Linked DNA regions of Lepisosteus oculatus. The protein of the gene in region 2 purifies or fractionates together with the protein of the main gene of each other region. This does not show direct contact. Links are inferred from orthologs where the notes say so. Each region holds a gene or a part of one and is shown on either strand. Other genes may lie near its edges.

The links.
Region 1: the proteins of tjp1a (region 2) and occludin purify together in Homo sapiens (affinity purification with western blotting; 4 studies listed by BioGRID and IntAct, with this or other methods). This does not show direct contact. The link is inferred for Lepisosteus oculatus from reciprocal best matches to the Homo sapiens genes TJP1 and OCLN.

Annotation. Positions count from the first base shown.
Region 1 is NC_090698.1:67,186,814-67,195,041, reverse strand, and holds the start of occludin, read right to left. Parts: upstream 3,061-8,228; 5' UTR 2,763-3,060; intron 1-2,762. UniProt on the Homo sapiens protein: May play a role in the formation and regulation of the tight junction (TJ) paracellular permeability barrier.
Region 2 is NC_090700.1:47,024,967-47,033,083, reverse strand, and holds the start of tjp1a (tight junction protein ZO-1), read left to right. Parts: upstream 1-5,026; 5' UTR 5,027-5,295; coding exon 5,296-5,462; intron 5,463-8,117. UniProt on the Homo sapiens protein: TJP1, TJP2, and TJP3 are closely related scaffolding proteins that link tight junction (TJ) transmembrane proteins such as claudins, junctional adhesion molecules, and occludin to the actin cytoskeleton.

The DNA.
Region 1 (8,228 bases), on a different chromosome or scaffold from region 2:
TTGCAACGTTCACCAGTACAACGTAGACTGTCCATCACAACTTTGTGCTTTAGAACAAATTCAAAAACTCATTTGAAGGGCAGAGCTACCCTGCAAATTCCCCCCAAATTCTCAAGTTTGAAAAATAAAGCTGCCGTGTCAGTAAATTCTCAGCAAGGACAGCCCAACAGGTGAATTTCCAAACCCTAATGGCTGAAAAAAAACAAACAATAATTGATTGATTGATATTTTAGAACGCAAAAGACAATTGCATACTTTGCAAATTCTGATGATCAGGCTTTTGCCAGCACATAAAAATAAAGTAACACTTTATTTTAAGAGTCTCCTATAAACCATGTCTTAATCCTTTATGAGTAACACACTAGCACTTCAATGGATAACGTCTATATAAACGTTAGCTAGGTACTTTTGTGAGTTACCCGTGAGGTGACTGTCATCAGTAATAGGAATTGTCTGCCATTGTATTGTGCTTTTCATCCTTATTATTTGTGAAGTCAAAAGTGACTTAAAGACAGTACAGTAGGGACACTTTATCCATTACTGAATTACAGGACCCATCTGGGTGGATGACACACTGTCGAACCCAGTACAAAGCACAGGAGTAAGATATTATTTCACCTACTGAATTAATACATTTATGTAAGAGATTGTGCAATCCCAAGGTGAAATTCAGCACACATATATGTGCCAAGTTTCCCTGATATATAAAAAGGTATGTATTAGTCATTTACTAGCACTCAAGTTTTATTTCAGCAGAAAAGTAGTAATCTATAGCTGCAAAGGAATAGGTTTATTCCATGAATAATAAATATGAATAAAACACAGCTGCAAGTAATAGGTTTATTCCATGCTGAAAAGAGAAGAAAGAAAACACAATGTTTCAGCTGTGGAGCCTTCTTTAGGTGTAATACATAGCTTACAGCTGACCTCTAAAAACACATTCCAAAATATTTTAACATTTCTGCATTAATATAGTCTTTGAATTTTCAAACCACAGTATATTGCATTTTTCCACTGACTAAACAATGTTCTCCTACTTTTCCATGAACACAAAACTATTACCACTGTCCATATAACCAAAATCCTTAATGTGGACATTTTAACATTCCACAGTGTTTATGTTTTAAAATAATTCTACAGAAGTAGGAATTTGATATTTCATATAATGAAAGAAAAATTAAATATACAATTTTTAACACATCTGTGAGGAACAGACACACAGTAACGTATTAAGGTTTGTACCAGAAATTATGCGTCAGACATTTACTCTTCTTAGTGTTTGAATTGGTGTACAGAAACTAAACATTTATTATTTAACAATCTGAAACGGGAAAATATATATATATTTTTTAATAAAAGCTAACGCATGATCATCATATCTAAACACTGTGTTTTTTGTGAATACCGAGCGCGAAGGATGAAAAGGTGTGGTTGTATCTGGGTTATGTTGCAAAACCCGAAAACTAAAAGTAAAATCTTCATAAAGCTAATCAGGATCTGAGAACGCTCTCTAGGCGATAAAAATATGAATTACTGCTCAACATAAAACAGCCCTCCATAAGATAACACAAATAAACGTTTGTAACGCAATTCACTAAATGAAAGGGAGTTAAAAGGGTATGCGGATCTCCAATTACTAAAAATGTACACTTTGAACTGGGAGAGATCTAAGAAACGCAATTAATATCAAATAAGCTTTAAGTTGTCCAACTGGAAATTTGGTAGTTTCGAACATGTGGTTTTTCTACCGTCAGTTTTAATTTCGATTAGTCATATTCGATCCGTTGTTTTGACACTACAAGCTTATTAGAATATTCTTCTTTAGGAATGAGATCTCGCAAATAATATTGAGAACTGGCAAATTTCTCTGGCGTAATTATAGGCAACTCGTGTCAACAAATAGCTTAAATAAAGTTTTCGACATTTTTCAATCACTGAACAAAAACCGAATAAATCAGGTAACAAACCTCAGAAACAGGTTATTTCATATCTGCTCCAGTTTATAATGCGAAGCCGTTTTATTCTTTAATATGTAGTTCAAAAGCTCAATTAAAAATGAGGAGAGGCAACGTGAATAACCCCGTATGGACATTAAGTTTGTGAAACCTACCCATTTTTAAAATACTGTATATGTTCGGTTCGCCATACAAAACACCATTCAGATTAACCAGGTTTGAACAGAACAAGAGTAGGCAGTTTTATTAAGATTAATACGATGACGTTAGTTTATTAAAACCCGCCCAGTCTCTATCATACCTGAAGACAAAACACCTGTGCAAAGAAACTAAAACAGAAATTCGTCCATTGCGCAACGTTTTCAGGTGTACGTTTGAAATAAACCTGAAACAAATCGTTTCTGAAACGAGGAAAATCATGTTTACATTCTCTCAGAACACAACCAGCATTTTCAGTGGTGCCTCCGACAGGAAAACGACCATTTTACCGAGTTAAATTATAATCGTCTACGGCAAGGCAACTTTACAATTAAAAAAATAATAATTCGCTGCAGTATTTTGACCTGTTTTTTAAAAACGGAACATTTTTTCTTCTCTTATCTCAATTGAAAAATCAACCTTACTAGGTAAAGAACATGAAGAAAATATTACAACAACGTGGAGAAAACGCCACCGGCAATAGAAACAACAAAAACAAAACACCCGCAGATGTACTTCTCTGATGTTAACCTACTAAACAAGACAAAATATAAGTATAAAATACGTGTTGTACGTATACTCGTAACAATATATAAGCAATAAACTTACCAAACCTCTTCAGTATTTCCACACCTGCCTTGTGTCTGCTAAAACCCGTATGCCAATACTGGCGCAGGACACACCTTGCTCTCAGAGACTCACAGGACTGGTGCTGCTCCTGTCTGCAACGTCATTGGTGATCCCGAAACGGTTCTCTGTTCAGCATCAAATAAACCTTTACTTGTTCCTCATTGGTGATGTCAGGCTTGATTTCCACCCCGCCGTAGACCAAACCTGGATTCATAACAAAGCACACCAACCGGTTCCCCTGGTAGATACTGGCAGGTTAACTTTCTGTGCGCGTAGGTGGAGTGTTTTTGTCGGAGATATTTTTTAGACTACCTGTAATTGCAGGATTCAGTACCTCTAATTAACACTCCTCAATTACACAGCTGAATAACTGTGCTGGTTAAGAATAGAGAAAACGATAAAAGCAACGAAACCGTAATCTGTACTGGTACCGGGAGCCCTAGGCATTTTAACTCTATAATGTGAAATCGATAGAAACAATCGTGTCAGATTTTCAAGATGGCAGCCGTCCACTTGTCACATTCCTGTTAACATATTTTCATACATGAGAAACATGCTCGTCACTACGTAGGTTTTAATACATTTGATCTGAATGTTTATTCGAAACACTCCCTTCGATGCGCAGTCGTTTGGTTGCTGTAGTGGTGAAGTAAACTTTCATGAACGTCTTTCTTCCCGTTGCCACATCACGAGACAGAAACTACTCTCTTGCTGACAACTGCAGAAAAAGTTTTAACCAGCAAAACTGGGAACCTCTGATTGTGATCTTACAGCAACCTGAGCTGGACTACTCAAATTGAGAGTTTGTATTTTTGCGAAGATTAAGAGTGAAGTTGGAAGGGAATGCTCGTCTTTTACCGTGCTATAATCGAGAGCGTGGATTGCTCATGTATTGGTCCAATTAAGATAAAAAAAAAGTCACCCGTCTTGTCCAAACAGCAAAGATTATGAGAGTAAAGCAGCATCTCTTGCAGACGATATTTGAACAATCCAAGATTTTACAGGTGGAAAAATTATATCAAATCATTTTCCTGTTCTTAATTCTCGTAACTTCTTCTTTCCGGAAAACGTTTTAGGGTTCCAAAAATGTAGATAAAATAGATATAATAATAATAATTGTTTTCACTTACATAGCGCTTTACAGGTAATGGGGACTCCCCTCTACCACCACCAATGTGCAGCATCCACCAGCATCTACAAATATGTATTTGGATTGTAATTGTATCTAAGAAAGCAGTTAACATAAATACATGGAATTACAATTCAGAATAATTTATTAAATGAAATCCAACTGATCTGATCCAATTCCAAAACAGAGGTGTTTATACTGAACTCTTATGTGGTAGGCCCCCCTTTTGTGAACAGGACCAGAGGGTCTTTAAGGACCAAAAGTCAGGATCTTGTCTTAATGTCTCAAATGAACAACGATTGTACATCTGCTGGTCCACCAACACGACTTACCAATGATCCAGCTTGACAGTGTGGAAAGTTGCCCTGGGGTATTTGTGTGGTATTATTCTATACAGTATCAACTCCTCCCTCGCTCTGCATCCGAACAATATGCCGCTGAAGCAACATAGACTAGCTGAGCTTCACAGCAAAGAATGCATTTGATAACTGCAAAACAGGACATGACTACCGTGACAGTTAAATGGGACAACAAATCAGCATGTATTTGCATCTGGAGAACTTAAAGGCAGTAGAAATGTACAGTAACACCATTGTTCCAGTCTGTGTGGTTTGCAATCCATCGTAATAAGATAGTCAAATAATTTCATGAAGGGTTTTGATAATAAATTTACTGACAAGTTGTTTACGCAATTTTGTAAGAAAAAAATAGTGGCATTATTAAAAATGATATTTGGCTAAAAGCTTTAAAAAAACCATCAGTTATTAATTTTTCACACCTGTACATCAGAGAATCTCACCCATAATTGATTTAAATATAGGACCCAATTCCACTCTGCGGCCAGCTGAGTAAAAACAAAGCATGGATAGCAGAATCCTAGATTCAGTACATGTGTTGTGGAGAAAATGGTGCTGAGGACATAGAAATAATTCTTAAGATAGATAAGGACATGTGGCTTTTCGTATTCGTATTTTCGCTTTTCGACATGTGGCTTTATTGTATATAGCGCCTTTAAAAGTGGGTTCTCAAAGCACTTTATAGAACAATAAAAACAAAAATGAAAAAATATAACATATACAGTACACACTGAGAATACACAATGAGAGGAGACAGTAGATGGAGGTACTGAGTACAGCAGGAGCAGAGGGGTGAAGAACAGAACCAGTTAAGTAAAGGCTCTTCCAAAAAAGAAGGGTTTTGAGGAGTTTAGAGAAGGTGACTCTCTGATATTCCTGGGGAAAGAGTTCCAGAGCTTTGGGGCATAACAGGAGAAGACCCTGTCACTCAGAGTGTAGATGGGCTTGGGGGACAGGTAGGAGACCACAATTAGAAGAGCGAAGGTTGTGAGGTGAGGAGTAGGGCTATAGTAGCTCACACAGGTACTGAGGTGCCAAGCCATGCCAAGCCTTATGTCAGGAACTGATAGGTTGAGTAGGAGGATCCCATGCGATGCCGTGAACTCTGCGGAATGCAGAGTAGCACTAGAACTTAATCCGAGGCATGGATTCCTGAGGCTAGGTCGGGAGAAGTAGCAATGAGTCAGGTTACCAGGGTAATCCAAACGAGGGCAAGAAATCCGAGAAGCAGTATCCAAGTAGTGAAGTTGATAAGGGAAGAGTTTAGTCCAGGAACTGTGAAAATCAGTAGAGAACTCTAAGGGAAGCTTCTCCATCGTGTGCGTGGGTTGGTAACTGAGGGAAGCTTGAATACTGAAGGGAGAGAGATGTGGTTGGATAATTGGTTCAGGAGTGAAAGTCTGTGGAATCGGATGCATGTGTGAATGTGGTGGTTTCCGTGGGAATGAGTGTGTGAAACAGTGGGTTTGGGAATGCCATGGCGTTTGCGAGGAGAAGTGTGGGATTTGACACCTTATAGGTGAGCATGGGGATTTTGAAGTCGACATGAAACTTGACAGGAAGCCAGTGCAAGAACTCCAGGATTGGAGTAATGGGATCACTTGCACTAGACCTGGTCAGGATTCTGGCTGCCAAATCTTTGGACACACTGGAGTTTTTTGTTCAGTGTGGATTTAGAAACCCCAGCGCGTAGAGCATTACAGTAGTCGATCCGGGAGAAGACAAATGTGTTGATCAGCTTTTCAGCCACAGGTAGCAATAACATAGGACATAGTCTAGCGATATGTTTGAGGTGAAAGAAAATGTTTTTGATATGTTGCACGTGTGGGTCGGATGTCTAGCCTGAATCAAATATCACCCCCAAATTTTTCCATTTAGACTGACGTTCAAGTACAGCCTTGGCTTTACAAAGCTGATGGGGGCGCCAATAAGCATGACATCAGTCTTGTCACAGTTTGACGAAGGACATTTTGAGACATCCATGTTTTTGATGGCGGAGATGCGATTAGACAGAAAAGAGACAGCCAGGTCAGTGTCAGGTTTGGTATGGATGTAGATTTGAGTAGCTTTGTGTAAAGAGGTACTTCCTGCTTAGCAACCAATCCACATTTCTTTAAAATCTTTGCCAAGACTCTTTATTTGACAAAAAGCTAGGGAGGCATTAAATATATGTGGGGAAAAGACTATGCTGATCATTTCTATATAGTACTTCACGTTTAAGGCAAACATTTCTTAAGTGACTGTGGGGAATCTTTCTGTGGTATTCAAAAATCAGACTGAGCTGAACTTTAGGTAAAGTAAACCAAAAACCCCTGAAAAATATGTTTTTAGTGAAACAAATATAAGGCAAGTCCAGTATGAAAACATCTCTACAGAAGTATTTATCGATATTCTACTATATCTACCACACACTGTTTGTAGTCAAAATGTAGAAGTTTATTTACAAGTTAGTTTACAAAACACAACAAGACAGGAGTGGCTGCTGTTGAACATTTCTTGCAATGCCAAGGTGCGATTATGTTTCAATAACAGTAGGCTACCACAAAAACAACACAGAAAGCATCTATTTAAGCAGAACCGAAAAAAGGACTTTCAGCAACACGGGCAAAGCAAGAACACCGCCAAGCAAATGCTTTGAAATTTGCTCTCAGTACTGTAATGGTAGGCAGTCTGTTGAATGCCAGTCTTCTGCTACATCAGCGATCCTCACTTGTTGTAAGACACAGCTCTGTGTTTCAGAGGGAGCTCACACACTCACCAGTGAATAGAAACGTGGAAACCGTTTGTTTTAGTAGATATTAAATCAATGCTTGATTCAACTAACTAATTAAGAGCTTTGGTAGAGTGAACATCAGTGGAGACTGTGGCTCATGAGGCCCTGAACTACACAACACCAGTAGGACCAAGGGTGGGGTGATCTGAGTTCTCTGTAATTGTGTAGCTCTTCGGGTCCACCAGGGCTGGTTCGATTCAGGGATTTCCAGTCCTGGTTCTGGGGACGCCTGTAACGAACAGTTCTTTCCGGACCCTATGCAGATGACACAATCCGACGGAGTGGGGAAACACTAGGGAAACGTCATGCAGGAATACGGGGCAGAAGACAGGGGGGCGTGTCCACGGTGCGCTGGTGCACAGGGGAGTGTGGCCGAGGCGAACAATCCGAGAGAGTAGTCCTTAGGGAATATCCAAAACACACGAGAAAGTCCAAAACCAGAAGATCCATCAGAACAAGTTAAAAACCATGAAGGCCGGGTCGGAACCGGAATGGGAACGGAGGTTAAAACCTTAACGGGACCAGGCGCTTCCAGGTCCCGGACTCGCACGATATGGAAATCAGATGCAGAGCCCGGAAGAGCGTCAGCGCCTGGCTTTTAAGGTGGGCTGGGAATAGGGAGCAGGTGCATAGAATAGAGTCTTTAGTGAAAGGGCTGGAGCACCCTTAAGGAGGGGGAACTAATATCGTGACAACGCCAACACCTGCTGGTATTCATTGCAGCTGAGCCGTTTGCTTGACTGAATTCATAACTGAACCAATGGGTTGCCTGGTTCATAAAACATACACAAGTTTTCTTTCAGGCCATTTCAAAGAAACAGGTAAAGGTTCACTCCATGCTGAAAGATAAAGAAAAGAAACACAACGTTTCTGCTGTGGAACCTTCTTAAATCTGCGCTCGTCAGCTAACGGTACTTTCAAGAGGCCTAGAGAACCTGGAGACACACAGGCCCTCCTGTAACAGGACTGGGGACCCCTGCCTTAGACAGGTGTCTTGTAAAGTGTTGCTAGGACTCCAAAGAAAGAGGACGGTGTTAGTTTTATGTGTTTTTTTTTGTTGTGTTTATTGACTTGGACTTGGTTATGTGTAACCCTTCACTGTTGTGAATAAAAACATTTTAGCAGCATTTAAAACTCTTCCAAAGATTAATGCCTCACTTCCAACAGAACAGGACAAAACTTGAAGA
Region 2 (8,117 bases):
GGATGGATGGAGCCCTGAATCAGAGGGTCAGATGATGCTAATTAGTGACCATGCCAGCGTGGAGGGGGCTTTTGTCAAACTGCGTGTGTCTGACAAAGCCATAAATCACAGTGCAGCACCACACCTCTTTCCCTGTGTCCTTGCCCTGCTGGGGTCTGCTGCTGGGACCAGAGTGAAACCCCCAATAATGTGTTTCTGACGAGATTCCGTTTCCTATCTTTCCAAAGAAAGTATAAGCTATTTTTTTTAAGTCATAATCCATTTTTTGTTCTACTGTCTGATACCCTGTAGATTTTGTACTTCTAATCCGGATGCCTCTTGTATTGTTTTAGGTCCATGAAGCCATGTCATTTGTGAAATCTCTATCAAGGGTTAATTTTCTTTATGAAGAATAACTGGAAAACTGCAAAGCCATGTGAAATGTGAATGAGGGTCAAAGGACTGTCTCCACTGTAGGAGAGAGTAAATTGGTTCTTAAAATGAGATTCTGAGTGAAACCTATAGGTCTGAGGTTTAATTTCCATGGAGACATGCATGAAAATGTTTCCGTTTTCCCTGCCACATGGATTCTCTTATGTACTGTATGTCATAGACATCGGTTTGCAATGGTGTCAGCAGTTGAAATGGTGGTAAAACATACTTTAGCTCCTATTAGCACAGTTAATCTTTATCTCTAAAAGCTATTTGATATAAATTCATTGCCGGTTTGGAGCATGTACTGTACATGCTTTCTGCTTTGGCTAGGGGTCAAGATTTTTGACAAACTAGATTTCTGTTGCCATCATCGATATGCGTGAAAGAAATAATGATCATAAAGTCAGACGTTAGATTCTAAGACCAGGAGAAAGTGACAGGAGTTTTGCAAGGATTCAAGATTCACTGACATCCCATCGGGCTCTGGCGTCAGGTTCTGTGTTTTTGAACAGAATGGTTAATAAACGTCTGCCCACAACGTGCCAAGACCTGTCCAGTAAAACCCCAGGTCTGCAGGGGCTCCAGGGACAGCTTTAGCCCGCAGTGGGGGCAGTGTCCATTGACTTGCATATAACCCAATAAATATACTTGAGGAGTGCTAAAATATAATCTGCGTTCGCATGGGCTCTGTGAAAGCAGTGGTGTGTGTAAAGGGGAGCACAGTGAAGATGGAACTGTTATCCCTGGGCCAAAAAGGGCGCAGTGGAGGAGGATTAGTTGGTAGACCAGCTTCTGAAATATTGGAGTGAAGGAGCATTTAAAAAGAAAGGTTGTCCTGAGAAATTTGAGCTTGATAGCATTTTATTTATTTTGACCTGGAGCAAAAGCTGCAGTTAGAAAGAACATGGCACAGAGCGAATTTCTGCTTGAACTTTGTCAGTTGCCCACTGTTTGTGTGTTGCACAGGATTAAGATTAAAGATTTGGTTCAGGGTATTTTGGACAAAGGTATAACCTGTATGTTTTTTCCCATCATTATCCGTTAATTTTTCTATTATTTTGAAACCTCTGAAACCTATTATTGTCAGTATCTGTTATGTCATACTGTATATGATTGGCTTTGACCATTTTTACAACCCTAGAAAGCAGAAACATCTTCTAACTCTCTTAGCTTAATTTTGTCACATTTAGCAGCCAGGGGCTGTTTCCTTATTAGCTGTGTCTTTACAGCACATCAGGATGGCACATCTGTACTATGGCTGGTGACATGGGCATACTGGATACAGTATATTGATTTAATAAGGAACATCTTACAGGCTTATGGTGTTTTTTATGAGTAAGTGTCTATATAGCTGACAACATCTACCTTATAAATATTGTAGCACTCTCGGGTTCATGTGGGTATGCGCCCTTGCTGCTGCCGCCTCAGGTCGGTCCCCAACTGCTGGGGACTCGAACGCGCAGCCAGTTGAGCTAAAGGGAAATCTCCCCTCAGCCCGGCAGCTGCGGTCCTGCTTCACAGGGGTGGGCTGACGTCACCGCACTGGTAAGCCGGCTCACACAACCTGCAAAAGCGGCCATATGCGTTACAACATTATTTAAAATGCTGTGAAATCTAAAGAGATATCACTTGTGAGAATAAACCTATTCAGTCTTCCACTCTTCCTTTCATAGGGAAACTAGGCTGTAGTTGTCTGCAATAACCAAGTGACAGGATTATTACAGCTATACACTATTGTTTTGTACTGTATTGATTAGAAAAAAAACGTTTCTTTACAATTCATCCCAAAGTGCAAGATCGCTTAAATGTAATAACTACAGATATAATCTTTGTGTTGCAAATGATTATTAATCATGCTATGGGGCAGAACCATATGATTTATGACAGGCAGGAAATGAATTGCTTGAGATGGTTGCAGCCTAAGGAAATCTCCACCTAATCTCAAACTGCAGAAGCTACAACATAGAAAATGTTAAGCACAAAATGTTTACACAGATGTTGGTTGTTATCAGTACATATATATATATACGCACTTTAAATATATGTACAGTTTATATAATGTGAGCAGCCCATGTGGCTGGAGACCAGGTCCAGGTAGTTGTGCCGGAACCTTGAACTTGAACTTTACTGCCATATGTAACCGGTACATGTACTGGTAAAATGGAATTCTTACTTTATCAATCAGTGCAAGTGGATGATTGGGCTGGATTTGCACAATGAAAGAGTCCCTTCAAGCCCTACCACTTGCTTTTGTCCATTTCCCTGTCCTGACTCTGAAACTACGAAGTAGGAGCTCAGCAAACAGGGATTTGCACTTTTTTCCCTGTACAGGGCCCAAAGTCCTTTCCAGCGCTCCCTCGTTGTGGAGAAGCCCTATTTGGCAACGTAGCGCTTCATCCTCCCTCTGAGGTCCACAAGGGTCCTCTCCTCCACTCCCCACTCTGCGTTGTGCTGGAGGAGAGTCCGGTCCTCGGCCCAGGCGAATGTGTCCCTGCGGAGCTGGAGATTCCAGCTGACTGATCTCCCTTCCATCCTCTTCCTAACGTCTGTTTGTTCTTGATGATGTGGGGCAGGGCGTGCCTCAGTCTGCTGGCCAGTAGCATGGACAGGATCTTGACATCCATGCAGAACATCGTGATCAGCCTCCAGTTCTTGAGGTCTGCGGTGTCCTCCCCTTGAAGAGTAGGGAGATGACGCATACCCTCATGGGTGTCTCCAGGTTTTCACTGGTGGAGATCTCCTGTTCCACCTCCACCAGATCTGCCAGAAGCAGGTGTAGAATTCCTTGGGGAGTCTGTCCGGCCCTGGCACTTTGCCATTCTATATGGACCAAAGCGCCTACTTCGGCTCCTCCGCCGTAATCGGGCCCTCCAAGTCCTCCCTCACCTCCTCTGGCACTCTTGCTTTGAGCCTCTCCAGAAAAGCATTGCCTGCTTCCACCTCTATCTGCTTTTCTGAAAAGAGTTCTTTGTAGATTTCAGTCGTTGATTCTGGTTTGTCGCCCTCTGAGGCTGTGGATGATTCTCTTCTTCTAGGCACCCTGGACCTGATTAAAGAAATAGGAAGAACAGGTTTCATTATTTTCTCTCTTGGAATTATATCGTGCTTTTCCAAAAAGAGATCCCAAAGCACTTCACATGCAGAAGGGGGATCCACGTCATCCACTCTGCTCCAGCAGCCCGGCTGCACTGCAAATCAGGTGGGGAAGTGAGAAAATACTCCACCAAGTCAATTAAGGAGAAAATAATCGGGAAGATCAGATTGTGCAAATCCAAAGTGGAATTAGCCGGGGTAAACATGCCCACTCTTACAAACAGTGTCCTGGGTGTTCTGAAGACCGAGTAGGCACAGCTTCCGTTTAACAGCTCATCTGAAGGACTACACTTGGGCATTGATTTGCATTTTATGGTCCAGAGGGAGGAGTGTCCCAACACCATTTACAGCAGCACCCTTCCTCAGCTGCTGAGGTCTAACCAGATTTAGATACAGTGTGGTGTTGCTGTAACACGACTTCTGCACAGGTTTTGCAACTGATCTGATTGGAAGAGGGGATTGGTACCCTTACTAACGTAAAAAAAAACATTTTGGTCTTAGATGTAATTGGCTTGGTAATCTCACAATCCACTGTTGGATCCGTCAACAGCGATTTGAAGTCGGACGTGTAAATTAGTTAATGCAGATGTCTGACTCAGTATCGAAGCGCAAGAGCACGTCACTGTTTTCCTAAGGCAGAGATTGTGTCTATTAATTTATGTCTAGCCCCTGAAATGTATTTTTTGTAGTCGCACACATTCACGCATATATTTTCATGTTTGAAAGGAATCCATTTTACAAGTCAGATTAGCCTCCTCCCTTTTTCCTTCATCATTCCTTTTTTTGCGGTAGAACAAAAAGAACAAAAAAGTACCTGGACCTCAGTGTTCTTTCCAATTAGCACAGCTCACAGCTCTCAGCCTGTGTTTCTATGGAGCAGCTCTGCTGTACCATGTTTACAGCCCTGCACATTTAAATAAGGGTTGTTTGAGAGCACTAAGCAGATTGCGAAAGGGTTAGCTGGTGGCCATTGATGAAATGGCACAGAATTGTGTTTTTGTTTCTCAGTGTTGATACTGTTTCCCCATTTTAAGGGAGCTAAGAATAGAGCACACACCCTGAAGAGTGTAGCATTTGATGCAGGTTTGTTTGTGCTCCAGGAATTTGACTCTCCAGTCAGGAGTGCTACCCCCTGCTGGTGGTGAATGGGGTACAGTTTGTGTTCCCTTTATTTTCATGTTTATTGTGCTTAAGCCGCCGGCTGGATGCAGCACAGCTCAGTCAACATGTGGATGCCTTAACAAGTGGGAACTCTGATAGGTTTCAGTTGCATCTCTGCTCGCTGCTTCTTCTCCCAAGCGGCGAGCAGTTCAGTTCGGGAGACCCAGCACGTGCTCACCAATTAAATACCAGCTGCTTCTGTTTTTTTTTTTTAATTTTCCAAAAAGGACACAAGCGCTCTTCTGTCCAGGAGCATCTTCTGCGGTGGGAGTGTGTGGGGTGGGGCGGGGGGGAAAAAGAAAAAAAGAAAGGTCTTTACATTATTCATTTGCATCTTTTCTCCCTCTCTCTCTTTCGCCTACCTCACGCACGGACGTTCAGCGCCGCGGCATTGCGAGAGTTTCAGCAAAAGTGCTGGGAGCGAAAAAACAATGTTCAGGTCCTGCCTGTAATTGAATGGATTAGCAATCTATTCTGAGAGCTAATGAGATTAAAGTGTCATTGTTGACATGGGGCGCTACAGCGTGGCACCTTTTGTTGAGCTCCTTGGGGAGTGTTTGTCCTGTCAGTTCCTCTATGCTGGAAATGGCGTTCTGATGCTGAGCAAGGGAGACGCAGAAGAGGCGGATGCCAGGGAATAAAAATTGCATGATTACCTACGCTGGCTTGTGGTGTGGAATTGTAGAAGCGGTGGACAAAATGAAATATCAGAAATATCTGACTGTTCTGCAGATGGCTTTGGGAGTGACTGCCTCCAACAGAAACAACCTCCTTCCTTATAAAAGACGGATGTGGTGAGTATGCATTTCAGGGGATAAATATGGGATGCTGCCGGGGAGAAATATACTGGCCGTATCAGTGTTATCTAATGATGAGAGGGATGCACACTGCCATTGTGCTCCATTCACACTGCAGAATTGGCTTGTTAGCTTTGTCGGGGAAGGCGACTCTATCATCTTTTGTTTGGATAAGATGCAGACACGAGCCTGCCTTTCTGTTTCGTGCTGCAATTGTTTTAATTGCACAGATCTGGAGGTCTACATGCAGAAGGCAGTGTGTTTGTCTGCGTGGGGGATCTGAGCAGGCACTGCCCTTTATTAGCAACTAGCATGCATGATATCATTCTTCTATTTTTATTATTAAAATGGAATGTTAGGAAAATTGTTATTTCTGCATAACGCTGTACATTCTGGCTAGGAAATGCAGTAATTGTTTCTAATAAGGTGGATGGTTATTTGAAAATCACACAATAGAAGTAGAATAGCATTCCATTTTAATGTAATGATCAATTCTTTGTATCAATTATATCTGCACATTAATATTTTCCATAACATAAATCAATTGTATATGTACCTGTGTATATACACTTGCATTGAAATGTTATTCTTTATTAAATACGTGTTTAAAATGCAGGCATATCGTTAAGTTGAAAGGAAATTATAATGCACTGCTGTCTTAAAATATTAATTCATTCTGTATTAAGTTAATCTGAATAAAATATGGCATAAAAAAATTCTAGTGTTTTTCTTCATTTGCTATTTTTATTTAGTTTCAAAGGTTAAATAAAGTGAAACAGTTCTTGGACTGCACACTCACTAGTCTCTTTATTAAAGCATTACAATAATAATTTTATAGTTGTCATCTATCTATGTATATAGCTATATCTACAGTAAACATTATAATACATGCTAAGCATAATAATTCTTGTATTTAAAAAAACAACTGTATGAGTCATACTCACTAATCTAGAATGATCACACAGTTGTGGGAAGAAATGCTTTTCGCTTAACAAATTGACATTTGCTGTTGTTTTTTATGTTTGGTATAATTTACCATTTCCAAATGTTTAATCTAATCATTTAATCATTTAATCATTTATTTTGGTGCATTTTTTAGTGTATTTTTAGTGTATTTCTGTAAAATGAGAATCATTATTACAAATTATTTCTGTAGACAAAATTCTATTATAAAATGTAATGTTTCTCACAAGAACATATTGTTTAAAGGTGAAATTTCAAGTGTAATTATTCTGTGTACAGAAAATACTGACAGGTGATCTGATACATACAGTATGACCAACAGGTTTTATGCAGGCATATCTTAAATAATATCTGTGATCAAATATCCAGGATAAAGAAGTAGAATATGAAAGAAAAGGTCTGGAAGGCTGATTTCCCAAGGACTGTTGGGAAATTCGTGAGATGTGGGTCCTCACAGGAGCCTGTCATTTCTGATCAGGAGCAAACGTTGACAGATTTATCATTGTGACACTGTTTCTGTAGGAGCCCCTGGGTCTTAACACAGGTTTGGATAAAGTTTATTTTAGGTTCTAAAATATTCTTAAGGAATAATGAGAGGCTAGCAGATTCTGCTGTGAGTGGGTCTAAACTAGAAAGCCTATTGTATGTCAGCTTCCAATAATGTATGTCCAGATGTCTGTTTCCAGTTTGCAGCATAATGTGGCCGTTGTTAAATGATGCGTGAATTCTCCCCTAACAACATGTAATGATCTGATTGTTACCAACAAAGAAATATATTACCAGTATTTGATCACACATCAAGGACTTTTGCAAATGCAGTCATTATGTTATGTGATCGCATACAGTATATACAATGGGCTTTGACTATGAGCTTTTATGTTATTGGGTGATTAACAGCATCCACATTACTTTGTTCAAAACAAAATTAAAATGGCTATCCCAGCAGCAGACCTTAAATGTTGGTGGTCATATTTTCTTTCTTTATATTTATTATTTTTAAATCAATTTTTGTCATGAGTTGTTTTTATTTTTAAATTAGCACATCCCTCCTCTGCTGCTCATTCTGATCCCCTATTTTTAATGGTTCATATTCCTAACTGGGCAGATTACTATTCAGCAGGCTTTTTACAGTCTTTAACTTGAGGTGTGTCCAGATCAGGTCACCAGAAGAGTGAGTTCATCAGGTCTCAGCACTCTACTGCAATAAAGGAGTCCTTTGTACATCAATGCAGCCTTGTTGTTCTAGAGTAGAAACCAGGGTGGGTAAAGTGAATGAGCTACTTCTCCAAAAACAAGCCAATCCTTCCAAGGCACAATGAAGGCAAATTGACAGCCAACGCAACTGAGTAAGGTCACTCTGCTGTGCCTCAATAAAGTGCACTAAGGGTGGAGGGGAGATTTTAATTTCCTTTACGCTTGTCACATCGATTTCTGTATGTCTACACACTGTACATAAACATACTGCATATAATGTTCAAAATCAGATCTTGAGCAGTATGCCTTACACTCAGTGGTCTTTGAAGATAGAAAGACTCTTATCGTGATGAAATTCTGTCTTCACCACTGGTATCACACAAACGTAGACGGGTCATGAGAAATAATGTTGCCACACTGAGGCTTCGTGTCCAATCTACTTGTTTACTTTTCCTTTGATGAATCACGGTGTTTGTATCTGGAGTTGATTGCAGC